Canis lupus familiaris: one gene and its partners. The protein of the gene in region 1 purifies or fractionates together with the protein of each later gene. This does not show direct contact. Links are inferred from orthologs where the notes say so. Each region holds a gene or a part of one and is shown in the gene's direction. Other genes may lie near its edges.

Evidence for each region.
Region 2: the proteins of HNRNPA1 (region 1) and HNRNPH2 purify together in Homo sapiens (affinity purification with mass spectrometry; 3 studies listed by BioGRID and IntAct, with this or other methods). This does not show direct contact. The link is inferred for Canis lupus familiaris from reciprocal best matches to the Homo sapiens genes HNRNPA1 and HNRNPH2.
Region 3: the proteins of HNRNPA1 (region 1) and HNRNPF purify together in Homo sapiens (affinity purification with mass spectrometry; 3 studies listed by BioGRID, with this or other methods). This does not show direct contact. The link is inferred for Canis lupus familiaris from reciprocal best matches to the Homo sapiens genes HNRNPA1 and HNRNPF.
Region 4: the proteins of HNRNPA1 (region 1) and LRPPRC purify together in Homo sapiens (affinity purification with mass spectrometry; 3 studies listed by BioGRID, with this or other methods). This does not show direct contact. The link is inferred for Canis lupus familiaris from reciprocal best matches to the Homo sapiens genes HNRNPA1 and LRPPRC.
Region 5: the proteins of HNRNPA1 (region 1) and HNRNPM purify together in Homo sapiens (affinity purification with mass spectrometry; 6 studies listed by BioGRID and IntAct, with this or other methods). This does not show direct contact. The link is inferred for Canis lupus familiaris from reciprocal best matches to the Homo sapiens genes HNRNPA1 and HNRNPM.
Region 6: the proteins of HNRNPA1 (region 1) and KHDRBS1 purify together in Homo sapiens (co-immunoprecipitation; 4 studies listed by BioGRID and IntAct, with this or other methods). This does not show direct contact. The link is inferred for Canis lupus familiaris from reciprocal best matches to the Homo sapiens genes HNRNPA1 and KHDRBS1.
Region 7: the proteins of HNRNPA1 (region 1) and EIF4A3 purify together in Homo sapiens (co-immunoprecipitation; 4 studies listed by BioGRID and IntAct, with this or other methods). This does not show direct contact. The link is inferred for Canis lupus familiaris from reciprocal best matches to the Homo sapiens genes HNRNPA1 and EIF4A3.

The regions. Positions count from the first base shown.
Region 1 is NC_049248.1:45,637,607-45,642,158, forward strand, and holds the start of HNRNPA1 (heterogeneous nuclear ribonucleoprotein A1), read left to right. Parts: upstream 1-1,539; 5' UTR 1,540-1,792; coding exon 1,793-1,807; intron 1,808-2,358; coding exon 2,359-2,475; intron 2,476-2,782; coding exon 2,783-2,929; intron 2,930-3,058; coding exon 3,059-3,269; intron 3,270-3,367; coding exon 3,368-3,460; intron 3,461-3,556; coding exon 3,557-3,649; intron 3,650-3,910; coding exon 3,911-3,985; intron 3,986-4,178; coding exon 4,179-4,337; intron 4,338-4,552. UniProt on the Homo sapiens protein: Involved in the packaging of pre-mRNA into hnRNP particles, transport of poly(A) mRNA from the nucleus to the cytoplasm and modulation of splice site selection.
Region 2 is NC_049260.1:75,730,441-75,734,401, forward strand, and holds the end of HNRNPH2 (heterogeneous nuclear ribonucleoprotein H2), read left to right. Parts: intron 1-132; exon of another isoform or gene 133-351; intron 352-1,162; 5' UTR 1,163-1,215; coding exon 1,216-2,565; 3' UTR 2,566-3,391; downstream 3,392-3,961. UniProt on the Homo sapiens protein: This protein is a component of the heterogeneous nuclear ribonucleoprotein (hnRNP) complexes which provide the substrate for the processing events that pre-mRNAs undergo before becoming functional, translatable mRNAs in the cytoplasm. Binds poly(RG).
Region 3 is NC_049249.1:3,803,166-3,807,526, forward strand, and holds the start of HNRNPF (heterogeneous nuclear ribonucleoprotein F), read left to right. Parts: upstream 1-1,519; 5' UTR 1,520-1,607; intron 1,608-1,921; exon of another isoform or gene 1,922-1,927; 5' UTR 1,928-1,992; intron 1,993-2,531; exon of another isoform or gene 2,532-2,676; intron 2,677-4,361.
Region 4 is NC_049231.1:47,443,165-47,446,969, reverse strand, and holds part of LRPPRC (leucine-rich PPR motif-containing protein, mitochondrial), read left to right. Parts: intron 1-870; coding exon 871-928; intron 929-2,005; coding exon 2,006-2,112; intron 2,113-2,329; coding exon 2,330-2,407; intron 2,408-2,750; coding exon 2,751-2,795; intron 2,796-3,124; coding exon 3,125-3,238; intron 3,239-3,805. UniProt on the Homo sapiens protein: May play a role in RNA metabolism in both nuclei and mitochondria. In the nucleus binds to HNRPA1-associated poly(A) mRNAs and is part of nmRNP complexes at late stages of mRNA maturation which are possibly associated with nuclear mRNA export.
Region 5 is NC_049241.1:53,435,734-53,439,538, forward strand, and holds part of HNRNPM (heterogeneous nuclear ribonucleoprotein M), read left to right. Parts: intron 1-567; coding exon 568-621; intron 622-2,816; coding exon 2,817-3,619; intron 3,620-3,805. UniProt on the Homo sapiens protein: Pre-mRNA binding protein in vivo, binds avidly to poly(G) and poly(U) RNA homopolymers in vitro. Involved in splicing.
Region 6 is NC_049223.1:68,522,364-68,526,168, reverse strand, and holds part of KHDRBS1 (KH domain-containing, RNA-binding, signal transduction-associated protein 1), read left to right. Parts: intron 1-48; coding exon 49-250; intron 251-764; coding exon 765-832; intron 833-1,613; coding exon 1,614-1,672; intron 1,673-3,805. UniProt on the Homo sapiens protein: Recruited and tyrosine phosphorylated by several receptor systems, for example the T-cell, leptin and insulin receptors. Once phosphorylated, functions as an adapter protein in signal transduction cascades by binding to SH2 and SH3 domain-containing proteins.
Region 7 is NC_049230.1:2,448,088-2,451,892, forward strand, and holds part of EIF4A3 (eukaryotic initiation factor 4A-III), read left to right. Parts: intron 1-410; coding exon 411-473; intron 474-1,046; coding exon 1,047-1,179; intron 1,180-1,374; coding exon 1,375-1,455; intron 1,456-3,121; coding exon 3,122-3,263; intron 3,264-3,643; coding exon 3,644-3,782; intron 3,783-3,805. UniProt on the Homo sapiens protein: ATP-dependent RNA helicase. Involved in pre-mRNA splicing as component of the spliceosome. Core component of the splicing-dependent multiprotein exon junction complex (EJC) deposited at splice junctions on mRNAs.

The DNA.
Region 1 (4,552 bases):
TTCCCATCTTCACCGAGTCACAAACTGCGATCCCTGAAAGGACTTGAGCGGGAGGGACGCCACCTGCCCGGATCCCACCCGGGCCCTGGACACGGACGCACGGCGGGAGGCGGCCCTTCCCACACTTCTCCTGCGGGCTCACGAGCATCCGCCACCGGTCCGGGGAAGGCCGCGGCGTTCCGCGCACACGTGGGTCGGCGCCTGTCCGCGACGGCAGCGGCTCTTGTTCCGATGCGCGCGGACGCTGCCGGCCAAGCGGGTTCCCGACGACCGGCCGAGCTCCCCTGGGAGCCTCCACGCGCGGGGCGACCAGAAGCCCCGGGGTGCGTGTGCGCGTGCGCGTGCGCGAGCGCGTGGAGCGGTTATGCCGAAGCCGAAGCGACACGCCACAGAGTCAGGGTCTCCCTACCGGAAACGCGTGTGGGGTGAAGGCCCGAGCGCCGGGCGCCGGCGGCCACTGTGGAGAGAACGCGCGCCCCCGCGCCCCCGCGCCCTCCCGCCCGCTCCTCCACAGCCCGCAGCGAGGCCTCCCGCTTCCGCACCGCTGACTGGGCGACCCGCCCGGGCGCCGTCCGCAGGCCGCCCGCCGCCGGCTCCACAGCGGGGCCTCCCCCTCGGAGTCCGCCCGCCGCCTCCGAGGAGCCCAACCTACGGCGCGCTCGGCGCCCATTGGCTCGGCGGGACGCTGCTCAGGGCGCAGGGCCCGCCCCCACGTCCCGAGGGCCCGAGGGCCCGTCCGTCGGCGGCAAAGGCGGACCCGATTGGCCCGCGCGCAAGCCAGTCAGACTCCGGGCCGCGGAGCCCCACGGCACTCCCGGCCGGCAGACATCCCGCCCCCGCCGTCCATTGGTTGGCTGAACCCAGCGCTCCCCCTTTACGAGCCCCCACCCCGCGCTCCATTCATTTCACACAATAACGGGCCCAATTGGAGTCAGTTCAACACCTCGTATGAGTAGGCGAGACGATCCGCCGCTTACCCGGAATCGAGACCGGCCACTCGCGCCAACGCCTCCCCTGTTCCTCTGTGGCGAGGCCGGACCACGGGACGCCGCCGCCGCCGCCTTCTGCGCAACGCCAACCGCCCGCCAAAACGGATCCTTCCCTGCGCCTGCGCGGCCAATCCTGCGACCGGACCCTTTCTCCGCCCATTACGCCTGCGCAGAGCGGGGCGCGACTCCCGCCACGACGCAGGCGCCGTAGAGTCGCCGCCGTCTCCCGCCCGCCATTTCACGTGCTCCAAGCGCCGAGCGGAACTGGTTAGTGCGCCTGCGTAAACTCGCCATTTTACTACACATGCGCCCGGCGGGCGGTCGTTTGCAAAAAAAAAAAAAAAGAAAAAAAAATCACCTGATAACCTCGTTCGTAATATATTAGCATTTACCGTGCTTCGCCAACTGAGCGGAACATAATTTCGGGGCGGAATGGATTGAAAATTCATTTAAATACCTTAGGTTCGTTCAAATATGAATGACTGGTTGACGAGCCAATCACAGTAATTAGGAATAATATTACCCGGGAACCAATAGACCTGAAGGGGCGGAGCCTGCGTAGAACGCCCAAGCGGATGACGTTGCGCAGCAGTGCGGGGCTATAGACCAATAGCAGGGGGAGGCTATCGCAAACATCCAATCAGAGACGCTCAGGGGCGGAGTCTACCAATGCCTAAAGCGAGGAGGCGGGATAAAAAAGCGAGGCCGAAGGTAGGCTGGCAGATACGTTCGTTAGATTACTCCTTTCTGCCCCTGGACGCCGCCGAGTAAGCATCGTTAAAGTCTCCCCTCCCACCGCCGTCATGTCTAAGTCAGAGGTGAGTAACACGCTGTCTCCCGCCTAGTTTCCTTCCTCACTCCTTCCCTGGGGCCGGTAGGACGCGGCCTGGCGTGGCCGCTCGCGCCAGCCCGTTCGGCAGCCCTTCGGGGGCCGCCAGGGCCTTCCCCTCCCGAAGTTGAGGTCGCCATTTTGTCCTCGTCGTCGCCATGAGGCCGCCGTCCTGCAGCGCTTGGCTGTGGCGCCGGGCTGCGCCCTCCCGGCAGAACTCGCGGGCGCATTCGACGGGTTTTGTTTGATCGTGTCTCCGGGAGCGAGTTTCTTGCGGAGCAGCCGTAGTTCCCCGCCGCTTCGGCGTCCGTCCAGCCGAGTCCTTTTGTTGCGCGTGCGTCGGAGGGAGAGTCGGGGCGCATGCGCCCGCGGCCTCCCAGCCCCCACCGCTCGGTCCCCCCCGAGGGGAGAAGCACGTGGCCTCCCGTAACCCGAGGGAACAATACGTGCCTTGTAACGCTGCTGTCTAGGATTTTCCTCCCAACGGGACGGGGCTGGGCGTTGGGCGCGCCACGTAACGAGCTGTGTCCCCGCTCCTAGTCTCCCAAAGAGCCCGAGCAGCTGCGGAAACTCTTCATCGGAGGTTTGAGCTTCGAAACGACCGATGAGAGTCTGAGGAGCCATTTTGAGCAATGGGGGACGCTTACGGACTGTGTGGTAAGACGTGCCGGAGACGGAGGGCCCGGGAGCGAGGTGGCTTCCGCCGCTCCGACGGCGGTTAACGGGACTGGGGCGGAGAGCCGGCCGGCGCCGGAAGGGGTGGTCCCAGCCGCGGAGGCGCTCCCGGGAGGAGATGCACGTGTGGCGGCCCCGGGGAGCCGGAGGGCCTCGTGGGCGGGCGGGGGGGGGGGGGAGGGGGCGCGCTTTTCTTTTTTTTTTTTTTTTTCTTTTTCTTTTTTTAATTTGTAACTCAGCGTGAGAAGTTCCGGGGTTCTCCTCAGTATTCAGGGAGCTCACCTTTCAGGTAATGAGAGACCCCAACACCAAGCGCTCCAGAGGCTTTGGGTTCGTCACGTACGCCACCGTGGAGGAGGTGGACGCGGCCATGAACGCCCGGCCGCACAAGGTGGACGGAAGAGTCGTGGAACCAAAGAGGGCTGTCTCCCGAGAAGTGAGTGAGGGTTTATTCTTTCCTGGGCAGACGCAGAAGCGGGCCGCCAAGGGGACCTCGCGGTTAGGGGTGGCTTGGTCGGTGTAAATAACGGAATTGTGTCCGTCCCGTCCCCCCCCCCAACAATAGGATTCTCAAAGACCCGGTGCCCACTTAACTGTGAAAAAGATTTTTGTCGGTGGCATTAAAGAAGACACTGAAGAACATCATCTAAGAGATTATTTTGAACAGTATGGGAAAATCGAAGTGATTGAGATCATGACTGACCGAGGCAGTGGCAAAAAGAGAGGTTTCGCTTTTGTGACCTTTGATGACCACGACTCTGTAGACAAGATTGTCAGTAAGTGTCGGGCATGCTCTTTGCTACGGCTTCTGAAATCCATGTTACGTTCTAAAGCCTGAGGTCATGTTCTCTTGGAATTTTTTTTTTTTTTTTAGTTCAAAAATACCATACTGTGAATGGCCACAACTGTGAAGTAAGGAAAGCCCTATCGAAGCAAGAGATGGCTAGTGCTTCGTCCAGCCAAAGAGGTGCGTTTGTTCAGTTAATCCTTGCACGTGAGGATTAATTAACTGAGTGATTCTCCAATCCGTATAATGTAACATTTAAAACTTTTGTGTTTTAAGGCCGAAGTGGTTCTGGAAACTTTGGTGGTGGTCGTGGAGGTGGTTTTGGTGGGAATGACAACTTTGGTCGTGGAGGGAACTTCAGTGGTCGAGGTAAGTTTACCACTCAAAGTTAACAATAAATTTATACTTTGATTATCCCCAGGTCCCTTTTTCCTCTGCAGCAGATTAACTCCTGGCTTAAATTTTATCCAAGTGTAGATCTGGCTTTTTACTAACCAGAAAGTTAAATCATCAACATTGGGATCATTTTTGTAGCACAGGAAGTATCTTTATAGAATTCTACTTTAAAACAACATAGAACACGTATACTCTGTACACTTCATGGTGGTTTAAAACTCTACTTTCTTTCAGGTGGCTTCGGTGGCAGTCGAGGTGGTGGTGGATATGGTGGCAGTGGGGATGGCTATAACGGATTTGGTAATGACGGTAAGTTTATTTTAAGGAATATATAGGTGGAGTTTCGTTTGGCAACCTTTAGACTAGGTTAGTAGAGCTAAACTAGTGCATGATAAACAGCTCTGATAACAGCATGCTGTGAGCAGGCTTTTAGGCATTACACTTGCACAGGTTTTGACTGTGAAATACTTTTGTCTTATTGAGAAGAATTGTATTCTTGTAGGTGGTTATGGAGGAGGCGGCCCTGGTTACTCTGGAGGAAGCAGAGGCTATGGAAGTGGTGGACAGGGTTATGGAAACCAGGGCAGTGGCTATGGCGGGAGTGGCAGCTATGACAGCTATAACAACGGAGGAGGCGGAGGCGGCTATGGCGGTGGTAGTGGTAGGTATCCAGTGATCCAAGTACTTGGTGCAAAAGCTAGATTAGCCCTTTAGAGTTTATGTCCCTAAGGGGATTTAATGCTCTTAAAAAGCATCATGTGGTACGATGCATGGTATTTTTTAATGGGCTTGCTAATGCTACCTCCTCCTAGCTTTAAGCTGGGGCCGCCTCACTCCCAAATAAGATAGATGGATAAGTGGATAGTGGTGCCTTTA
Region 2 (3,961 bases), on another chromosome or scaffold:
CCTTATTGCCAAAAAGAGGTTGGGGTTATAACTGATCCTGCTTGTGTCACACCAGCCCCCTCTGTTTGAGTTCCACACTGTTGCCAGGGTGATCTATTATTTGAAAAGGCTCTGGTTACCTCACTTTCCTCCCCTCACTCCCTTACCCACTCCCTTACCCATTCCCTTACCCTCACTCCCCTACCCCACTCCTCTGTTTTAAAACCCTTAGAAGACTCTTAACGTTTGTCTATCAAGTAAGGCCTTTGGGATCTTACTCTCTACCTTGCCAGCCTTAACTTCTTGCCTGGGCTCATCCTATTTTATGCTCCATTGTAATTTTTAAAAATTTATTTGTGGATCCTTGAACTGGTGAGTCTGTTTAAACAATTCTGTGCCAACTGTTAGAATTGACCAACTAGTCCCTGTTTTATACCACCTTTTCACGCTATACAGAATTTTGTCATAGCAGGAATAATGTTTATTTGCCCTTTTGCCTTTAGTAAAGATGTATAATGCCCCTGTAGGACTATAAACCCTTTCTTGGTTTATTGATCCTTGTATCCCAAAGCCAAGTACTGGACTTGCCAGTTGAAAAATATAAAATGAATGTATGATCACCCTTAATGTCTTTTTCCCATTTATTGCTTAGGCCTTAATATTTCCTTGATTTTATTAATTGGCATGAGTTCATTATATAAGGATATTAATGTACTGTTGTGTCTTCTCAAGTGTATTGTCTTTTAATTCTGTTTAATCTTACCTTTGATGTAATGAAGTTTTTCATTTTTATGTAATCAGGTATAGCTATCTCGTATTTGTTCACAGCTTCCAGTGATTTTGCTGCTGATTTTTTATGCCTTTTGTGTTCTATGATGTTAATATATGTTCAATATAGAAAACCTAAAACATAGAAATGTCCAAAGAAAATACTCCTTTAATAAAAAAGTTCCCATAAGCCTACTGCCCAGAAATAACCACTATTAACGGTATTCAACACATAATAGGTATTGAGTAAATAATCTTTGGATGAATGAATTAAAAATTTGGTGCAGTCTTTTTATTTATATGAATATTTTAGAACAAAGCTATCCGTTTGAGTTTTATATTATTGGTTTGCTTTTTTCTCTTACTATGTTGTGAACATTTTTCCATGACAATAGTCTTCTAATTTTTTTTTTAGCTACACTGAAACTGCATTGAGCCAAGCTTGCCACCAAGAGCCCAACAATCATCATGATGCTGAGCACGGAAGGCAGGGAGGGGTTCGTGGTGAAGGTCAGGGGCCTACCCTGGTCCTGCTCAGCTGATGAAGTGATGCGCTTCTTCTCTGATTGCAAGATCCAAAACGGCACATCAGGTATTCGTTTCATCTATACCAGAGAAGGCAGACCAAGTGGTGAAGCGTTTGTCGAACTTGAATCCGAAGATGAAGTGAAATTGGCATTGAAGAAGGACAGAGAAACCATGGGACACAGATACGTTGAAGTGTTCAAGTCCAACAGTGTTGAAATGGATTGGGTGTTGAAGCATACAGGTCCGAATAGTCCTGATACTGCCAACGATGGCTTCGTCCGGCTTAGAGGACTCCCATTTGGCTGTAGCAAGGAAGAGATTGTTCAGTTCTTTTCAGGGTTGGAAATTGTGCCAAATGGGATGACACTGCCGGTGGACTTTCAGGGGCGGAGCACGGGGGAGGCCTTTGTGCAGTTTGCTTCGCAGGAGATAGCTGAAAAGGCCTTAAAGAAACACAAGGAAAGAATAGGGCATAGGTACATTGAAATCTTCAAGAGTAGCCGAGCTGAAGTCCGAACCCACTACGACCCCCCGCGAAAGCTCATGGCTATGCAGCGGCCAGGTCCTTATGATAGGCCAGGGGCTGGCAGAGGGTATAATAGTATTGGCAGAGGGACTGGGTTTGAAAGGATGAGGCGTGGTGCCTATGGTGGAGGGTATGGAGGCTATGATGACTATGGTGGCTATAATGATGGCTATGGCTTTGGGTCTGATAGATTTGGAAGAGACCTCAATTACTGTTTTTCAGGGATGTCTGACCATAGATATGGAGATGGTGGGTCCAGTTTCCAGAGCACCACAGGGCACTGTGTACACATGAGGGGATTACCTTACAGAGCCACTGAGAATGATATTTACAATTTTTTCTCACCTCTTAACCCCATGAGAGTGCACATTGAAATTGGACCCGATGGCCGAGTTACTGGTGAGGCAGATGTTGAATTTGCTACCCATGAAGATGCTGTGGCAGCTATGGCAAAAGACAAAGCTAATATGCAACACAGATACGTGGAGCTCTTCTTGAATTCTACTGCAGGAACAAGTGGGGGTGCTTATGATCACAGCTATGTAGAACTCTTTTTGAATTCTACAGCAGGGGCAAGTGGTGGTGCATATGGTAGTCAAATGATGGGAGGAATGGGCTTATCCAACCAATCTAGTTATGGGGGCCCTGCCAGCCAGCAGCTAAGCGGGGGTTATGGAGGTGGGTACGGTGGTCAGAGCAGTATGAGTGGATATGACCAAGTGCTGCAGGAAAACTCCAGTGACTATCAGTCAAACCTCGCTTAAGTAAACAATACTAAACAGCTATTACAAAAATAAAATCTCTGCATTTATGGGAGTTGTAGAATGGGAGGGATGTCTAGTATATCCAGTATGATTGGTAAATGGGAAATACTGATTCTGATCACTCTTGGTCAGCTTCCTCTTTCTTTCTTTCTTTCTTTCTTTCTTTCGTTCTTTCGTTCTTTCGTTCTTTCATTCTTTCCTTTTTTTTTTTAAGAAAACAAAAGTTAAGTTTAACAGTTTTGCATTACAGGCTTGTGATTCATGCTTACTGTAAAGTGGAAGTCAAGGTTTTACAACTTTAAGCTCAGTAATTTTGAACACTGAAACATTCATCTAGGGTGTAATAACAACGTTCAGTATTGACCATAACTGTTAAAACAATTTTCAGCTTTCCTCAAGTTAGTTACATTGTAGGAGTATACCTAAGCAGTAAGCATTATTTAGGTTAAAGCAGTTTCACTTATGTTAAATGTTGCTCTTATACCACAATACCTTGAAAACTTTGGATGCATGTTGAGAAACATGCTTTTCTGTAAAACTCAAATATAGGAGCTGTGTCTACGATTCAAAGTGAAAACATTTGGCATGTTTGTTAATTCTAGCTTTTTGGTTTAATATCCTGTAAGGCACGTGAGTGTACACTTTTACTTTTTTAAAGATCTGGGACAATTTTGAGATGTAATACCAATACTTTAGGAGTTTGGTCATGTTGTTTGTATGAGATTCTGAGACTTTGATTTAAACCTTTCCTTGTATTGTGATTTCCATTAGATGTATTGTACTAAGTGAAACTTGTTAAATAAATCTTCCTTTTAAAAATGAAAAATCTTGTGCAGCTTGATTTCTTTTAAAAATTTTATTTATTTGAGAGAGAGAGAGGCAGAGAGATCAAAGAAGGAAAAGCAGATTTGCCGCTGAGCCGAGAGCTGGATGCAGGGCTCAATCCCGGGCCACTGAGATCATGACCTAAGCTGAAGGCAGACATTTAACTGAGCTACCCAGGCGCCCCAACAGCTTAATTTTTTAAAAATGTTCCATCATATGAACCATTTCTTTGATACAAGTCCTCTGCACTTGAAACTTATTTTTTTAAGATTTTTATTTATTTATTTGATAGAACAAGCAGGGTGGAATGGCAGGCAAAGGGAGAGGGAGAAGCAAGACTCCACACTGAGGAGGGTCCCGGACATGGGGCTTGATCCCAGGACCTTGAGGTCATGACCTGAGCCAAAAGCAGATACTTAACCCACTGAGCCACCCAGTGCCCCTGCCACTGAAATTTAAATTTAATTTTTATAAACACACATTAGTACCATCATACATAAATTGTTCACTGTATCATTATTTTTAAGATCTATGCCTAAAAGTGGGATTGTTGAGTCAAGTGTACCCACAT
Region 3 (4,361 bases), on another chromosome or scaffold:
GGTGGTCCAGGAAGACAAGTGTGGGCAAATATTTTCCAGTTGGTGAGAAGAACTGGAAATTGTGGGCAAGGCCTGGATTTGTGGCACCAGTATGAACAATTTCAGGCCTCACTGTGAAAGAGGGTCTACCTGTAATGTTGCTGGTTCTCATCTCTGAAAAAAACATTAATAGGCACCTAGGATTACTCCCAAGACCAGAGAGAGGCTCATAATCAGGCCAAGGCTCTAATCTTTCTTTCAGGGAGGCTCTCAAAGATTATTGCATTGTTGGGCAGCCCGGGTGGCTCAGCGGTTTAGCACCGTCTTCAGCTCAGGGCCTGATCCTGGAGACCCAGGATGGAGCCCCACGTGGGGCTCCCTGCCTGGAGCCTGCTTCTCCCTCTGCCTGTGCCTCTGTCTGTCTCTCTCTCTCATTAATAAATAAGTAAAATTTAAAAAAAAGGATTATTGCATTGTTGATCAATAATGAACAGGGAGCCCCTCGAAGGGATCAAAGAGCCCGTGTAGCTTGAGTCTCTCTTAACGGACTATATAAACATATCTTCTTGGACCTGGCTTCACAGTCCCTTAATTCTGAAGCACTATTTTTTGTTACCGTTTTAATATTTGCCTCAGATTGGCTGCTTGCATTCTCTCTCCAGAACCACTTTTCTACAGTCTGCTATGATGAAGTCATTGTGGAGTTTTGTGGGAACACCTACCTGATTTTTGTAGGACTCATTTTCAGTAATTTTGCTTTAATTTTCTCCTTGTACATTTTCACCCCCTCTAACAGCTCTTCCTTTCACTTTTCCCATTTTTCTTTCCTAGAATCAGCTTTTGACAAACTGCTTTTTACTGTCATCCGCTCATAATCTGCCACTGCTCCAAACATTCCCTTAATTTAACCAGTGATTTTAAAATAATCTGTTCTGTGAAACCTGTGATGAATGCCTTGATCTCATCCTCTTTATAAAGAGTCTCCAAAAATTAAAATGGTGATAATTACTAACTCCAGAACACATCAAGAAGTCTCCACTGCTCTCAGGCTGGGAAGCCATTTCCACCCAGCCTTTAGTTTCAGGTGTTCCCTTGGGTCTTCTGGGTCACCTTCAGAGACCGGGGACTCCTCAGCCCAAGTAATCAACATGTGAGCAACCTCAGTGAACATGTTACTCCTTCCCTAAATTCTGCAATCGGAGCCGCCTTTATCCGTCTCGCTGTTTTCGGTTCCCTATTTTCTCCTTGGCAGGAAATTACTCTTTTTTTTCTCTCACGCTGATCTTCAATACCGGAGTCCTTGAGGTCCCGGTTTAGGGGGGGAACTCTCCCAGTCAGCATCTCCCGGAGCTCAACGCTGCCGCGGTCAGACCCTCCCCCGCCCTGAGAAAGGGCTGGCGCGAGGCAGCGGCTCTCCTCTCCACAGCGTCCCCTTCCGCAGGCCCCGGCCCTGCCCCGCGCCCCGCAGACCAATCCCTGGCTCCGCCCCGGGAGCGGCACAATGGCGCCCTCGCGGCCCCGCCCCTGGACGCACGCCGCGGAGGCCCCGCCCCGCCCCGCCGCGCTCCTCGCGTCCTTCCGGCTCCGTGGTGGAAGTAGCCCTTCGCCGCGTCTTCCTGGAGAAGAAGGTGGGGTTCCGCGGGGAAAGCGGCCGGCGGTCACGCCAGCAGCCGGAAGTGGGGTGGGGGCGCGGGCTCTCCGGGCAGCGGCCCTCGGGTGCTGGGGTGCGGCCGAGCGGGGACTGGGCGAGCCCGGAGCAAGCGGGCTGCGGGAAACGCCGCGTGCGCCCGACGGGCGGGAGTTGTGCGCCGGGGCCGGCCGCGCGCCAGGCCCCGCCCCTCGGGGCCCCGCCCAGGGCGCGCTGCCAGGGGTTTCCATGGTGATGGTAAACAAGCCTCAACTGCCTCAGCTACAACTGCCAAGTTCCCCGCGTTCCACCCTCCTCTAGGTGCTCAGAGGGACGATCGAGGTGCCGGATGTGAAGAGCGGGAGCGTGGAGACCCGGAGCCCGAGGTGAGGGGCGGGACGGGCGGCGGGTCGGAGGCTGAGGGCCGCACCACTGGGACGGACCGAGAACCGGGCCCTCTGGGCTGGGGGCGGCGGGGCTGGGATACGGATTTGGGGGAGGCTAGGTCTGAAGTCAGGGGCCTCACCCACGGGGACCGAATGGGCATTGGGCACGCAGGGGCTGAGGGTTGGGGTCGGGAGAGGCAGGGGCTGAGGTCAGGGACTGGGCCCCCTGGGGCTGAGAATTGGGGTCACGGAAGGTGGGGTCAGAAGTCCACGGCCGTAGAGTCGGGGACTGGACCCCTGGACTGAGATCGCGGGTGCGGGGAGGCAGGCCTGAGATCAAGAGCCATCCCCTCGGGGACTGGACCGCTGGGCTGGGATTCAGGGCCGCGGGAGGCAGGGAGGGAGGAAAGGCCTGGTGCGGCCTCCGGGGTTAGCAGAGCTTGAGCGCCCTGCCAGAAATAGCGCGAGGGCACCTGACGACCGTGGGAGAGGGGCTTCATTTAAAAATGAAAGCAGTACTTTCACGTGGTTGAGTTGCACCAGACTGGTTGGCAACTGACTCCTCCCCCCTCCCACGTTCCCGCTCGCTGAGCCTCCACTTTCGGTCTTTGAGGCCTTTTCTTCCTCTCGGTGTGGCGTGTGAGTGCCGAGCGCCGGTCTCCGTTTTGTCTCCTGCTTTTAGAGGTATTGTGTCTGGTTTTTGGGTAGAAACTCTTTGGTTCTCGTTATCTCTGCCGGGTGACCACACTTACGCGGAGCGAGCTTAATCGGCCGTTTCTTTTTCCCTTGCCCTTTATTTCTTTGTATCCTTGAATGTATTTTTTGCTGGTTCTTGACTGCGCCTAAGAAACTTCTGGACTCTGCCGGCGCTTGCGCTGCGCCCTCTACCTTCGGTGTGCCCGCGTGGGTCCCTGAAAGTGGCGCCGGGCGGCCTGGTGACGCCGGCAGAGTCCGGGGACTCGCCCGACCCCGTCTTTTATAGACCGGGTTAGGAGGCCACAGGCCCCTCCCTGTTGGTCTGTTCCCTTCAGGAGCTCTCAGGTTCTCGCCGGACAAATCCCCAGACCCCGGAGAGCCCCTTCCCCAGCTCCAGCAGGAACCCCCTCCCCCGCCGCCCCGCGTCCCTCGGGCCGGGCCCGCCGGCCGGACTCTCCTCGCAGTAGTTCCCTTCCCCCGAGGCCTCAGGACGCAGGAACGTGCTTCCTTTAGCTCTCACAGCTACCTGGGGGTGTCCGGGCTCCTGTCTGCCCCGCGGCCGCGTGCGTGGCGGGAGCGGGGTCCGCGAGCTACGGCTCGCTGAGTGGGGGGAACCGCCCGCCGGGAAGGGGGCCCCCGAGGTGCCCAAGGTTAACGCCGCGCCTCAGGTCTCCGGAAGTTGGTGGCGCTGGAAGAGCTCTGAACACTTCAGATACTCTTTCAGTTCAAAACGTGGTCGAAATTCCCTATCTTAAATGTAATTCTATTACTTACAGTCATTTTTTTAAAGGTTAACGGTTTCTGAATTTCTAGTAAGAATGAAAATACTTCGGGTTCTCCGGTTAGACAAAAAAATGCGTTGGGGTATGTCAGTGAAAAGTGATGTTTTCAGTGTTAATTTCTAGTCAAGATTCTTCATTTTGAAGTGAGTAAATTTCTACTTATGAAGTTTGGGAGAGGTTGCTGATGTTACTAATTACTGGTCTTTAAGCAAGCCCATCTTTAGTCATCTCTTGTGCCTGTATGCATTTCTGTAATTTGATTAGATTTATTACATACTAGGTCTTTTTTATTTTAGGTTTTAAAATAATTTTTTAAAAAGATTTTATTTATTCATGAGAGGCAGAGACACAGGCAGAGGGAGAAGCAGGCTCCTCACGGGGAGACCGGGGGAGACCGATGTGGGACTTGATCCTGGGTCCTTGGATCACGCCCTGAGCCGAAGGCAGAGACCCTCAACCGCTGAGCCCCCCTAGGCGTCCCTAGTTTTTAAAATTTTAACATTGTTTTTGTGGTATTTTTTTGGCAATTTTTAAATTTTATTACTTTTTAAATTTTTATTCTTGAGAGACATAGACAGAGGGAGAAGCAGGCTCCACACAGGGAGCCCCATATGGGACTCGATCCCGGAACTCCAGGATCACGCCCTGAGCCAAAGGCAGACGCTCAACTGCTGAGCCAGCCAGGTGTCCCTGTAATTTAAAAAAAAAAATTAGCAGGTGACTGGTTTTCATTTAAAAGTCTTGCTACAGGGCAGCCCGGGTGGCTCAGCGATTTAGCGCCGCCTTTAGCCCAGGGTATGATCCTGGAGACCTGGAACCAAGTCCCACGTTGGGCTCCCTGCACGGAACCTGCTTCTTCTTCTGCCTGTGTCTCCGCCTCTTTCTCTGTGT
Region 4 (3,805 bases), on another chromosome or scaffold:
AATAGTAGTAGAAGTAAGTGCATGCGAGGCAGTATCTTAAGAGCAAATAAGTTCAGTCATAGAATAGACATAAAGTAGTTCAGAATTCCTAGCTTATGTCACTTTGGAAAAGAGCCGTTTGTTTCCGTTCTTACTGTCTTTATCCCAAGGATGTATAGTCAAATACTGTGTTCAAAAGTTATAGGTCAGTACTGTAGGTTTGTAGTCATTTTCATCATAAAATACATATTTGGATTTCTTCAGTTAAAATTTTGCTAGCAGAATTAATGTTGAATAAATGTTGTGTTTGTACAATCAACTGATAGGAATCTGTGAGAACAAGCACATTAGAGCTTTTGACTCCTTTGGTTTTAATGCCATTAAAATACCTGGAAAAATGTCATTGGGAAAAAACTAAAAAAAAAAAATTTAAACTATTTAGCAGTCTAGTGTGTTTTACTTTATTATTTCTGTAATACATCATTTGAAAGGAGGAAACTGGTCCAATTTCAATAAGACCAAAAACAACACAATGAGAAATATATTGGCTGATAATTCCTATAAACTATTTCCTGTTTCTTTAAAACAATATATAAACAATATATAAACAAAATATATAAACAAATCTGTTTGGAGGGTTTCTTAGTGACAGTTCATGAAACATTGTAGTTTTCCTTCAACATGGGTTTGTTTTGTTTTTGTTTTTAAAGACAAACCTGTTATTTAAAAACGAAACAATTTCCTTGGCTGGTGGGGGTAGTGTTGAATTACTGTGATATAGAATAATACCTTACTGGGAAGAAGCTTTATTATTTCAAGAATTCAATTTCAGATTGTATTTGTTCTTGTTTGCTTCTCTTGCTGCAATGCGTGCATTTTCTGTCTTACCAGATAACAGAACTGTTGTATAAGGATGGACGTTATTGCCAAGAGCCTCCAGGACCAACGGGTAGCGTTTCAATTTCGATGATTGTAACTTATCCACAAATCCATTCTTCTGTGTAATGATGGGCTAGAAGGATTACAGCAGTAAACATTTTCTTTTTGAAAGTGAAATTTGAAAACATTTGGTTATAAATCTTTATATTGATAACCACAACATTTTGAGATCTCTGAGGTGTTTGGTTTTATCATCGTAATTGTTTTACAGACAGGATTGGAGGCTTTTTTTCTGTTTGAAGAAAGGAAATGCTTCGTATAGCACTTAGGAAAATAGACTTAAAGATGAGTCATTCTTAGTGTTTGTTATTTTAATGTTTTGCAGGTGTGGCTAATTTTAAATAAAAGAGATCTTTAATCTTTAGGCTTTTCCCCCACTTAAATGTAATTTATTATCCAAAATATAGTATTTTGGCATTTAATGATTTTTATTTTCCATATAATAAAGCCTAGAATATATGGTTTTCAAGAAGGTACCCTTCTTGAAAGTTCAGATTTTCTATCTTAGGTATTAACACATGGCCATATACATTTTATGCTTGAATGCATAGGAAAATTACTGTTGTTACAAAACATCTTTGTTAATCTTGGTTTTTCATTGGCTAATAGGCAGCTCTCCACAGGATTACTGTATCTACTTATTAAAATTATTTAACTTTCTATACTCAACATTTGACAGTTGTTCCTAATTTTATGTGTTCCCTAAATATTGCCCACCAAAAGATTAGTGCAGAAATGTGTACAAGGCATTTATTTATTCTTCCTCCTTGTGATTTGGACAGGAAAGGGGTAAGGCCTTGGGCAGGACCACTTCTGTCACAGAGTGGTGGAAAAAAATAGATTGAAGTAAGATTCAGTACTGAAAAGCTGTCACTCGGTCTGAAAATAATTAATATTCCTTTCACTCACCAGTTAGATATGTGCTCCCAAACCACATAATCTCTATGCCTCAGTGATCAGTGTTGCCATTTCAGAGCCTCTCATCAGGGTGACATCTCACACCAAAATGATTTCTTATAAATTAATCTTGATAACATGACAGTCTCAGTAATTTTAGTGGAATGCTTTCTCTTGTTTTTTTCCACAGAAGCTGTTGGCTATTTTCTTTATAACTTGATTGACAGCATGAGTGACTCAGAGGTACAGGCCAAGGAGGAGCGTTTGAGACAATACTTCCATCAGCTGAAGGAGATGGTACCATTTCATTTTTTGCTATATAATGCCTGTCCTGTCTGACATGTATCTATTAGATTTGAAATTGCTGCTTTTAAGTACAACCAGACCACTTCTCAATGACATACACGAGTTGGAGACTTAAATTATGTCTGAGATAATTTCTGTTAGACAAATTTCAGTTTGGTTGTCTAAAACTCAGGATTTTTTTTTTTTTTTCTTCTTTCCCTTTGTACAGAATGTAAAAATTACTGAAAATCTCTACAGAGGCATTCGTAATCTACTGGATAGCTACCACGTTCCTGAATTGATTAAGGTGTGTGTGAAATAGTAATCAAAATTTTAAAAAATACTTAATTTATATATAAAAGCATGTTAAAATTGTATTTAGTATGATGCTTCTGGCCAAAAACCGTTTACTTAAATGACAACCATTAAAAGAAGGTTTTTCATTGATGGTTAGTAAATACTGTTTATATATTGAAGAATGTGTTTAAAATATTTTTTACAATGGTTAATGAAGTATGAATAGAATTTCTGGAAGATTTTGAAAAGATAGAAAAATAATAAAATGAGCTGAAACTTCTAAAATTCCTTTTGACATTGGCTAATATATTTTTCCATGTGTTTTCTAATTTTAATTTAAATCTCAATTTTAGGATGTTAATATATTGGTTGATAGAGAGAAGATTGACTCTCGAAAAGTAAGTAGGTTCTACATACTATAACCACCACATTTAATTACAGAGAATTCTAGCTTGGGTCCTTATGAACCCAGTGGTTCCTAACATTTTTGTCATCTGCATACACCTAAGAAGTTGATAACAGCTGTTCCTCATCTCAGAAAAATCAGCATATCTAAGAAATTTGCATGCGTATCTCAGGAGTTTAAAAAAATCCCTGGAGTCCATCCATGGATCCCCAGATTAATGACCTTGATAGCATTTATACTTCTAGGAAAGGTCAGTTTAAAGGGAAGAATGACAAGGGGCACATTTTCCTTTTGTAGTGAATTACTTTCCTTTTCCTGTAGACTATGCAGCTGCCATCATCTGTTTTGGAGACTACACTTGAAAAACTAAAAGCTGAAAATCAACCTATAGGAGATGTTCTAAGGCAACTCATACTAGCGCTTTGTTCAGAAGAGGTAACGTTTGTTTAAATATTTCAAATGTGCTATTAAGGTAAAAAATTCTTTATAGATAAAAGTAAGCGAAGCCACATATAATATTTATGATTTTCACAATTGATTATTATACGTCATGCATGTGAAAAGTGCAATTAAATGAAAGGTTAACTAATTTCAGCTACACCTTGAATGGCATGTTTTCGGGTTGCTGTAGTTTGTTTACGATAATCTGCAAAGTGAATGATAGTAACAGCCGTGATAGGTTTATCATACATGCCAAATGTCCTTTCAAGCCATGGCTCCGGTCTCTTATATCTAGATTGTCAAGCAACTGATACATGCAGTAGTCATTTGCAAGTCAAATATTACTAGGTTGTTAATGCAGGGATTGAAATTCCATTTTCCTGCTGGAAAAAAGCTCTTTCTGAGATAAAGGGTCTCTTGCCTTTTTTTCAGCAGGCGTCCAGCTGTACTTTGTGTTCATTTTAGTGTGTGTCTGCAATTTGTGGTATATCACTAGACTTTTTCAGTTTCTAGTTCAATATGATTTGGTTGTATGCCTGTGTTTTTAGAGGAAAAAAACAT
Region 5 (3,805 bases), on another chromosome or scaffold:
CCAGGTGGGGCTGGTGGGCTCCACATGCTGGAGTCTTTCCGTGCATGACTTGTTCGTAAGGTCATACTTCAGCACTGCATGCAATTGTTGCTGGTTTTCAGGACTTTGACAGTACAGCCATAGCTTGAGTTTGCTAAGAGATAACCGTGAGTTGTTGATCGAATCTGGTGGGTGTGTGCAGGCTTCAGTTTGAGTACTGAGGGTCTGGATCAGCTTTAGAAAACTATGCTACCCCCCACCCCCATTCTTGCTCTGATGTTCGCAGTTCAATTCATTGGTGCATACTGACTCTTTACTTAGCTCTGCTGGGCGCATTCCCAGATGGTCTTGCCAACTGGGCCTCAGACTCTGGAGCTACATGGGAACCTAGAATCATGACCCATCATCAAGGACTCTTACGGTTTTCCAGTAAAATTATCCTGTCTATATGTGTATTTCTTAATCCCTCCCCCCTTTCCTTGTTTTATTTTTAAATTAGTAATATTCTTATTCTGGAATCTGTATTAAACAAATTTCTGTTATCGTAGAGAAATTTGGCTAATTTTTTTTTCTTCCTGATTTCCTTAGAAATCCTAAGTAATGCACTGAAGAGAGGAGAGATCATTGCAAAGCAGGGAGGAGGTAGGAAACGCTTAGTTTTGATGTTTTGATTTTTAGAATAGGTTGTTATTACTGGGGATAGTAAGAGTGTAGTGGTGAAAAGCATGGGCTCTAAAATAGACTGCCTGGGTGGGAACCAGCTCTGTCTCTTCCTAGCGTGTGACATTTGGCAAGTTACTGAACCTCTCTGTTTTCCATATTGTAATATGGGGTTATAATGGTACCTACTTCATAGGGTTGTTGTAAATGAGTTAATGCATAGAAAAAAATATTTGTATAAGTGCTATATGTAAGCATTAGCCATTGTTATTATAATTCCATGTAATTTGGGGCCTTTGTTTTAAATACTGTAAAATTGTAAATTCATAAAAGTAAATACCTGATTAAAAGGTATACTACCTCCAAATCTAACAAGTGCTTACTAAGCTATACACATGTACTCATAAATATTTGGAAAATTATAAAGTAAAAAAAAAAAAAAAGAAAATTATAAAGTAAGTAAATACCTGCAATTTCACTACCCAGTGATGAGTGTTGTAAACATTTTGGGAATATCTTTTCATTAATACACTTTTTAAAAAAAATGGGTATTTAAAACTAAATGAACTTTTCCAGCTTGAATGCCTCACTTCCCCATGGCTCTGAGTGTCTTGGCATTTCCTTGGTAGCTCCACTTGCTGGTTATTTCTGTGGTGTGTGATACTAGAACTCCATGTGGGCACCGTTTTCCCCTTGTTCTCTGTTGCTGTTGGCATCCAGGGGGTCAGCCTGATTAATGATATTCTTGAGCATGCTACTGCCCTTTCTAGTATCTTGCTTTTTTAAATACTTTTAGAAATTTTTGCTCTGAAAGACTAATATTCCCCCCCCCCCCCTTTAAAAAAGATTTATTTATTTATTCCTGAGAGAGAGGCAGAGACATAGGTAGAGAGAAAAGCAGGCTCCTCACAGGGAACCTGATGTGGACTCGATCCCTGAACCCGGGATCACACTCTGATCCAAAGGCAGACAGACACTCAACTGCTGAGCCACCCAGGTGTCCCAAAAAAAGACTAATCTTAAATTTTTATATTTTGCCACTTGGTGTGCTGTTACTCAGCTGAGGAAATGGAGAAGTGGAATGACATGTGATGTCAGCCAGAGACTCACAGAAACTTCTGAGTTTCCTTTTCTTCAATTACATCTTGGACTGGGCTGCTTGGGTCACTAATGGGCTGGCTGTGGACTCAGCTGACCTTTTTTAGAGGCAGGTGGCAGTGGTGATGGCGAAGCTTGAGTGAGAAGGGACCCTTAGAGGCTCTGAATGTGGAAAAGTGGTGGGCAGTGGCCTTGGAGGTGGAGCCAGCCCCACCTTCTACAGAGTTACCAGCAAAACAGGGTCACTGCATTGCTGACACGAAAGCATGTGTCCAGCTAAACCATGGCATCGAGAATTGATCTTAGACCTCTTCTAGAATCTACTCTGCAATGCCATTGACTTCTTTTCCTCTAAAGCCAGCAGAGTTATACACAAGTTATTTGGTGGTTTTCCTCACAGAGTAAGGCTCCCTGGAAGTGCCTGTCTATCTAGACATAGAGGGTCTATATTGGTGTTTGTTTTCTTTATCTACTCTTATTTACATGGCTGTATACTAGCTTCTTTATGCCTGGAGGTGCTAAGGAAATGCAGCCAGACTGGCCATCAGCAGGGCATCTGAGAGGGACAAGCTGGGAGAGGGTAAAGGTTGTGAGTGATTTGAATTGTCACATACAATCCATGTAATCCATTTTACAGACTGACCAACTCAGGGTGGGGTTTCTGAGCTTTGAGAGCATTTCTCAGTGTCATTTGGTGGGGAGACCTCACAGTTCTTGGGAATTGACAACCATGGCTCACAAAGCTAGTTAGAAGTACTAGGGCTTCCGAAGTAATGGTGGAGAACGTTGTTGACACAGTCCTCCAGGGTAGAATTTCTCCCTTTTTAAAATTTTACTATGGAAATGTAAGCTGTGGCATAGAAATAGGAAGAACAATGTCCTCACTACCCTGCCTTAACAACAGTTAAGCCTTGACATTTGAGGGATGTCTAATGGTAAATTGTTGTGGGACTTAATTCCTGAACTGTGTTTGAGCTTGTGAAGTGTAAGCCTCTGCACCCAGGTCACCCTCCTGGCATGGTGTGCACACAAGTGTGCAAGTCCCTGATACCTGCCTCTGTTTTGTGTCCCTGTTCCAGGTGGAGGTGGAGGCAGTGTCCCTGGGATCGAGAGGATGGGCCCTGGCATTGACCGCATTGGGGGTGCCGGCATGGAGCGCATGGGCGCAGGCCTGGGCCATGGCATGGATCGTGTGGGCTCCGAGATTGAGCGCATGGGCCTGGTCATGGACCGCATGGGCTCAGTTGAGCGCATGGGCTCTGGCATCGAGCGCATGGGCCCACTGGGCCTCGACCACATGGCCTCCAGCATCGAGCGCATGGGCCAGACCATGGAGCGCATCGGCTCTGGCGTGGAGCGCATGGGTGCCGGCATGGGCTTTGGCCTTGAGCGCATGGCCGCGCCCATCGACCGCGTGGGCCAGACCATTGAGCGCATGGGCTCTGGTGTAGAGCGTATGGGCCCTGCCATCGAGCGCATGGGCCTGAGCATGGAGCGCATGGTGCCCGCAGGCATGGGGGCTGGCCTGGAGCGCATGGGCCCTGTGATGGATCGCATGGCCACCGGCCTGGAGCGCATGGGCGCCAACAACCTGGAGCGAATGGGCCTGGAGCGAATGGGCGCCAACAGTCTCGAGCGCATGGGCCTGGAGCGCATGGGCGCCAACAGCCTGGAGCGCATGGGTCCTGCCATGGGTCCAGCCCTAGGTGCTGGCATTGAGCGTATGGGCCTGGCCATGGGTGGCGGTGGCGGTGCCAGCTTTGACCGCGCCATCGAGATGGAGCGTGGCAACTTTGGAGGAAGCTTCGCAGGTTCCTTTGGCGGAGCTGGAGGCCATGCTCCTGGGGTGGCCAGGAAGGCCTGCCAGATATTTGTGAGAAATGTAAGTGGCTCTTCAGCAACTTGATGGTGGTGGTAGGCACAAAGGGAGGAAGGGTGAGGGGACAGGTTGAAGTCAGAGTCGGTGCCTTCAGTAGGAAGGGTAGCAATACAAAAGGCCACCTTGCTACTGTCCCCCCAAATTTGGTGCTAGTAGGATAAGGAAGGACTGTGAGAGTGTATGAACTGT
Region 6 (3,805 bases), on another chromosome or scaffold:
TAGTTGATGTATTAAAAGCTCCATTTAACGTAAATTTTCTTTTTGCAGGGGCCGTGGTGTTGGACCACCTCGGGGGGCTTTGGTGCGTGGTACCCCAGTGAGAGGAGCCATCACTAGAGGTGCCACCGTGACTCGAGGAGTGCCACCCCCACCTACGGTGAGGGGTGCTCCAGCACCAAGAGCACGGACAGCAGGCATCCAGAGAATACCTTTGCCTCCACCCCCTGCGCCGGAAACATATGAAGAATATGTAAGGAGTTGGAACAGTGTGCTGTTTCCCAATACCTAGAAGGTTGCCAAAGTTGAATGATAGGGCGTTGGCCTTTGACATAGGTGGCAGGGACAACCTATAAGAGATCTGGAGTCAGTCTCTTCTCTTGCAGTGAGCATTAAAATATGAGAAGATTTTTTCCATTTTAAGCAGTTTACTATGTGTGAATAGATTAAACAGGAAATAGGCTGTACCTTGATATGTATAGTCTTTTAGTAAGGGGTCTTTTTGCTAGTACTACTGATAATTCTCAACTTCAACTGTTTACCTTGTTTCCTGCCCACAATTTGAAAGATGATTTGGTTTGGTTGGTAGTTCAGTTTTGTTTCGTTTTTTAAAAAAATAACCCTTTCTCTCTCAACAATTCCCCAGTGAGTGTAAATTTTGGAGGGAAGTTTTGCATTGTTAATCTGGGAGTCTGCCATCCTCCTATGAGTTGTAATTACCTTCCCTACTCTGTGTGATTCTGACTATTTCATTTTATTTGTTCCAGGGATATGATGATACTTACGCAGAACAGAGTTATGAAGGCTACGAAGGCTATTACAGCCAGAGCCAAGGGTAAGTCAGGCAATAGAAGTGCTGTTTCGTGTCCTAGGGATGGATGGGAGGGAGTTTGAGCAACTGAGAGATTTAGGTAGGACACATCTAAGGAGCAGCGTGGCTCCCTTTTGGAAAGTATCGCCTTTACTTTCCATATCTGTAGGGCACACAGATCTATAAGCTTAGATAGCTGTGAATCTTAATTTACAGTGTAGAATTTGGGAATAGCAGATGGAAAATTACTGAGCTGTGACCGCATGGAAATGAAGGGAAAATGCCATTAAATTGTTTTGATGTATTCTTGTCACATTAAAAGTGCATTAAAGTTTAAAAGGAAGCCTAGAATCTTACTACCATAACTTGGGTTGTTTTGTGCACTCGTCTTAAATAATAATGTTTTTGTGTATACATATTTTGTCTGTGATTGATTGAAAAGTGTCTCATAATTATACAGTGGGGACAGGAACAGCATGTTTGTTTATTCTCTTCCAATGAGCCCTATAAATGTGTGTGTGTACACTATAATTAAGATGGTCAGTTTTGGATTATGCTCTCTCACTTTAAATTATGTGGCATCCATCTTTGCTATGGTTATCAATTTTTTTTTAATAATTACTAGCTCCTTAAAAAAAATAATTACTAGCTCCTATATGTTTTGAAATGTTTTCTGGTTTGGAGATGGGGCAGAACGAGCATTTTCCTGTCTTCCACACCTATTAAAATGACTGAAATGTGAGAGGAATGAGAAATGGAAACAAGAGTTACTCTAGCTCTCTAACGCTCTGTCTTTGGCTTTCAGGGACTCAGAATATTATGACTATGGACATGGGGAGGTTCAAGATTCTTACGAAGCTTATGGTATGTCTTTATTTCCATGGTGGGCAAAGTGTGCAAGTAAGTGCCTGCAGGAATGCTGGTGACTCAATTATTGGGGGCCACCAGTCACATACTGAAAGAGGAGCTTTTAGAAAGCTGAGATGTTGGTAGATGTGACAGTAGCTGTCCTTCTCTTATTGAAATTGTGTGATGTGGCATAGAAAGAGGAGCTCTTAAGGTGAAATGGGGTACTGTTACTCTTGGAAGGCTAAGTAGGTATCTTAAACTAGGGCTCAGGTCCAGCTTGGTCTGGTTGGAGCAGCAGACTTTTAAGTTGATGATGATCTTTTTCTACGTTAGACCAGGAGAGATGGCCAGGCCTAGGTCATGTTGCAGGGCCTTTGCTGCTGGTGCCTAGGCCACATTAGTAGATAATAAGAACTTAATCATATCTAACTTTATTCTCCAGCCCCACTTCATTTTTAGCAACGATTTTGGATCTCATTGAAAAGAATCTCAATGTAGAGGAAATGTTAGCTGAAAGAGAACGAGACGGCAAGTAGCTAGCCAAAAGCAGGTTGGGTGCAAGAAGAGTGCCTATCAGCCTCAGATCTGAGGCTATAAGAGCTAGAGCCAATTCAGCTCCTTACTTGCTTGGAGACCTCTCAACTCAGTCCCTGATCCCAAAGGACCTATAGAGGCTGGAATGGCAGTAGGACCAAGCTGTCTTCCCTGAGGTTTAGTTGAAAACACATTGCTCAAGAGTGTCCTCAAGAGCCAATTATGGCCCTGTGTTAATGGGCCCCAGAGGGAGTGCCATGTGGCAATGGGTGCAGAGAGAGCAGCCTTTTGAATGCAAGGATTTTCAACATACTTGAGGGAGTTCCAGAGTGCTTGGTGAGGGGCTCAGTAATTGACAGTTCATCTTAAGACGCTAGTAAACAGTCTCTCCTTACCCCTAGCTGAAAAGGAGGAGGTGGGGAGCCTCTTAGAGCTCCCACTGACAGACAAGCTGAGCTTTACTCCTCAGCACAGTTATGTAGTAGCCAGTCAGCTGCTTGCCTAGAGAAATGGTTTTTACCAATTCTAGCTAAATGGTACTGGACAGTTGCCATCAGTAATGCTGCACTGCTCTGAGGCCACCGTTTAAAAGGGCAGTGGGATTGCCCTAGGGCATTCCATCCATTGGTGAGGCGGCACAACGGGGCCTCTGTATGTGTTTGACTAAATTACATTTCTGTTTTGCCAGAAAAGAGACTGGACTGAAAGAGTCAGACTGCTTCTTTTGCTCCTGGTGTGATGTTGCTGCAGTTAATCTGTTATGATTTCTACCTTTTATAAACAGAATTAGAAAAATAAACTGTCTTGTTAGTACTAGAAGCCACTTGGAAAGTAATGGATGTACCTATCATACTAAGGGTATAAATAGGCTTGCATAGGGTTCTGTGGGACTGCGGGTCCATATAGAGGTTTTAGACCTGTAGAGATGGAGGCTCATATTTGTGAATGCAGGCAGCTGGAGAAATACATTGGGGATGAACTGGCATAGGTAAAGTATGGGGGCGAGTGGGAAGAATAAGCTCATAATCCCAACTCCTGTTCATAAGAGGTCAGCTGTAGAAGTAAGGGATCATGTCCCTCAGGCTTTTCCCTGTATCAAAGGAAAACCATTTGAGGATGTCAACCACGTTATCTGGCTTCTCTGGACTACTGCATGAGAAAGGAAATCATGAATTCTCCATCATATCAGTGTTATGAATACATTCAATTGTACTTCCCTCCGCCAGAGCAGTGGACCAGCTCTGCTGGTGGGGAGGCCTCATGAAATGTGGCCCTTGCTTGTTCCTCCCAGAGAGCCAGAGGACACTTCTTAACAGGGAAACCTGACTTACTGGTGGAAAGGGAGGCCACCTGATTTCCAGTCTGAAAGACCTCGCAAAGTTGCCACATTACCCAAGACTTTCTGCCAGATGCTTTTGGGAACGGGAAGAAGGACATTGTGGACCCACTGAGATTCATCTCCTTACTGTCTCAAGCAAGGTGTTGGTTTATCCAGGTTTGGGGGTTGGAGTAGATCATGTTGCCAGTGGAGAACCTCTTTGCTGAAGATGATTCCAGGCCTTTTCTGAGCTGTTTCCTTCTGTCCACTCAAAATTGCCCCGTTCCAGAAGGCCA
Region 7 (3,805 bases), on another chromosome or scaffold:
TTATCTTTAATCCTTGGAAATACTTTTGTTTCTTTTGTAACTGCAGTGTCTGAAAAGGACGGTTTTTAAAAATGTGTACTTAGTTGTACTGACTCAAATTTTTCATGATATTCTTAATTACACACTAATAGGAGAGCTAACTAATACTCTGTCCTAAGTTCCTTGTCAGCTAAATGGAGAGAGACATTTTTAGTGGGCATTCTTTTAGTGGCCAAGCAAGAATTCTGCCCAGTGAACCCCATGATGACTGGGTTCACACATGAACTTACATTCAGGTTCCTTTGTCTCTATTAGAAATGAGATGTATGGTTAATGCGATGTAACATTCAAGATAGATCTGCATCTGACTTCGTGCAGTCTGCCTTGAGAATACTGAGGATTCTCTGTTTTCTGACAAATTATTTTACCAGGTTCGTGAAACCCAGGCTTTGATCTTGGCTCCAACGAGAGAATTAGCTGTGCAGATCCAGAAGGTGAGCCACTGAGAGTTAGTGCTGTATTCCCAAGTGCTGCTTTCTGATTCAGGTGTAAAAGGTTGGCTGGTTGATTTAATCTAATCCTGTTTTTTTCCCTCAAATTTTACTTCCTGATTTTTGGCATAAATCATTGTTATGATTTATGTTGTTGGTTTATACTGAGTCATTTTTACTGAGTCATTTTTAGTGTAGCTGGTATGATTCCAGTATCTTTTTGCAGTCTCAGAATTGTAGTTTTTTTCAACAAAGAAATCATTTTAGTAGTTATTTTTGTACTTTATATTAAGATGTTGTTAGAATTGTTTGTGAGTGGCTAAAATTATGAGTTTTACGTATTTCCAGGGCTTTTTGTAATTAAAATGTATTTCTTTCATAAGAAACCAGTAAAGTGAACTTTATTTTGGCATGGAAGCAGGAGGTTGGGTCTTTTTGTAGTTTTATGGTGTAAACGATGGAATAAGTAGTACTTGGTATGTCGGAGTAGAGATTACCTTCACTTTGGGGAAACTTGGAGGTCTCTGACTTTGGTCCTGAGGTGAGGCCCCAGACGTGACCCTTGTTTTAATTCAGGGTCTGCTCGCTCTGGGGGACTACATGAATGTGCAGTGCCATGCCTGCATCGGGGGCACCAATGTGGGAGAGGACATCAGGAAGCTGGACTACGGGCAGCACGTTGTTGCTGGCACACCTGGACGTGTCTTTGGTAAGTGCTTGGGGCGTTACAAGAAGTGCTTGAAGGACCCAGGACCGTTTCCATTTGCTGTGCTGTGTGGTAGCGCTTGCGTGCAAGTGATGTAAGAAGTAGGCAAGAGGCCTCAGAAATGCTCTGAAAACCAGGGGGAATGGCTGGCTGTTTCCTCGTGGTCCGAGGTCTAAGGATATCAAACTGATTCCACAGATATGATTCGGCGCAGGAGTTTGAGGACACGGGCCATCAAGATGTTGGTGTTGGATGAGGCTGATGAAATGTTAAATAAAGGTAGGAGTCACGAAAGCAGAGATTTTCTCTTGACTTTAATGTTAACACGTTCACATCGTGGAGCTGAAACATGGAGCTAACGCCAGTGTTCTCGGTGCTAGCAGATGCCCTCGTGCTCTCCGGGCAGCTGTGAACGTGAAGCTTGTACTTGGCTCTTGGGGAGCTGAGAGCAGTCACGGCCAGAACCACAGCATCTCCGCCCAGACTGGCGCAGCATTGCTCCCACATGTCTGGAGCTCAGCATAGATGGGGAGGTGTGCGGCTGAGATGAGGCGTGTAGAAATGCCTACTGTGGGTTGTGGGGGGCACAACGGTGTGTCAGGGAAGCTAGATTTATGGCAACGGGGCGTCCCATTGTCTAGAGACTGTCATTTATTTAACTAGTTGTCCTGTTAGTTGTCTAGGCTGATTTTACTCTTTTACCAGTTAATAGGATAAATTTCTAGACTGGGACGTGTACTTTCTAGGCTTTTCATGTTGTTTCTACCTGAGTGTCTGAGGACAGATCTGTGATGCCTCTCTGTGTGGCAGCTGTGGCGTTAGTCCAGCGGTGAGGAAATACATCGTGAAGATGTACCTTGAGCCCGGGGCATTGTTACGTGCAGCGACAGGCAGTGCTCCCTCGTGTCTCCCCGCTTGTCCTTTCTGCACACGCCCTCCCCTTCGGTCTCCACATCATACTGGGGGGTATGGGGTGTCTCATAGACATCGGGGTCATCCAGGTGGAGGGAGTGCTTGCCTCTCAGTGCTCATCTGCTGCACGGGTGGGACCCTCAATGGTTCTGATGTCCAGGTCCCTGGAGGCTGATGCTGTCCTGAGGGCTGCCCCCCCGCCCCTCCAGCCCAGGGCTTCTCACCTGAAGACTTTGCTCCTCAGCTGAGAGAGAGGCATAGTGACTGGGGCACTCAGGTGGCTTCCTTAGTGTCTGAGGAAGCCATGGCTTGCTGGTGGCTCCTGTGCACCTGTCCCATGGGCAGCAGTTCTCAGAGTGAGGTCTCCAGACCACCAGGGTTCACGTTATCTGGGAATTTGTTAGAAATGCAGATCTTGGGCTCTGATGTTTGGTTACAACCTCAGTCTGTGAATGGGCTCTCTTGGAGGCTGGGGACCCCCTTGTCTGGGCTTTCTCACACATACTTCCTGGCCCTGTCCTGCCCAGTCAGGCAGAGATGGGGGTGGGGTGAGTGACCTGTGGGCCAGGTCCCAACGATGGAGGTATAATTGACACGTGATGCATTAGTTTCTAGTACACAACTGTAATGATTCCGTATATACATATAGAAGATTTTTTTAACTGGAAGATTGTTTTATAAAAATCCAGATCCCTGGATTCTCTTAAATGTGGGTGATCTTTCCTCAGCGGACAGATCCTCACAGGGTGGCAGGAGCTGGGACTGGGGTCCTGACTGCCAAGAGGCAGCCGAGGTCGTGGGATGACCCAGGGCTGGGGTTCTTTTGCTCTTAAGCATTGGCACCCAGGCCTCCGGGTGGGGCTGTGATCCCCAGAGCCCACCTGGGAGGGGAGGGGTGAGGAGCGGCAGAGAAGTGGGGCACGTGGATTTCCTGGTTCTGTGGAAGATTCCTGGGGAAACCTCACACCTCACAGTCGTCACTTCTGTGTCCAAGTGCAACCTTCAGACTCCCTGTGCCTCCTTCTGTGTCCAGGTTTCAAGGAGCAGATTTACGATGTGTACAGGTACTTGCCCCCGGCCACGCAGGTGGTGCTTATCAGTGCCACACTGCCTCACGAAATCCTGGAGATGACCAACAAGTTCATGACAGACCCCATCCGCATCTTGGTGAAGCGGTAAGAACACCCTGCTTCTGGGTGGTACAAAAACAGCCACGTAGCTTGTATTTAAGCTTAAAACATGAAAATTCTTTGTTTTCTGGTTTGAGAAACCAGCTTACATATGTGTATTGCCCCTTGGCCCAGTAATTCGAAATTTATACACCACCTGATGGTGTTTGTCCGTCTGTGTTGTGGGGGTAAAATACATAAAACAGGGGCTACCTAGTGGCTGTTAAAGGCTCAGACAGGTCAGCATGTGGCCCGAATGGCGGGAGTGCTGACGGCCGGGAGCGGCGGGGGCCGCCGTGGGCCAGGCTAGGAGCAGTGCTCGGCTTGTGTGCGCCCTCAGGTCTCGGTGAGCGGATGAGTTCACAGCACTTGTCTGTATCTTCCAGTGATGAATTGACTCTAGAAGGCATCAAGCAGTTTTTTGTGGCGGTGGAGAGGGAAGAGTGGAAATTTGACACACTGTGTGACCTCTACGACACGCTGACCATCACTCAGGCTGTCATCTTCTGTAACACCAAAAGGAAGGTAAAGCAGTAGCTGTCTTGGCT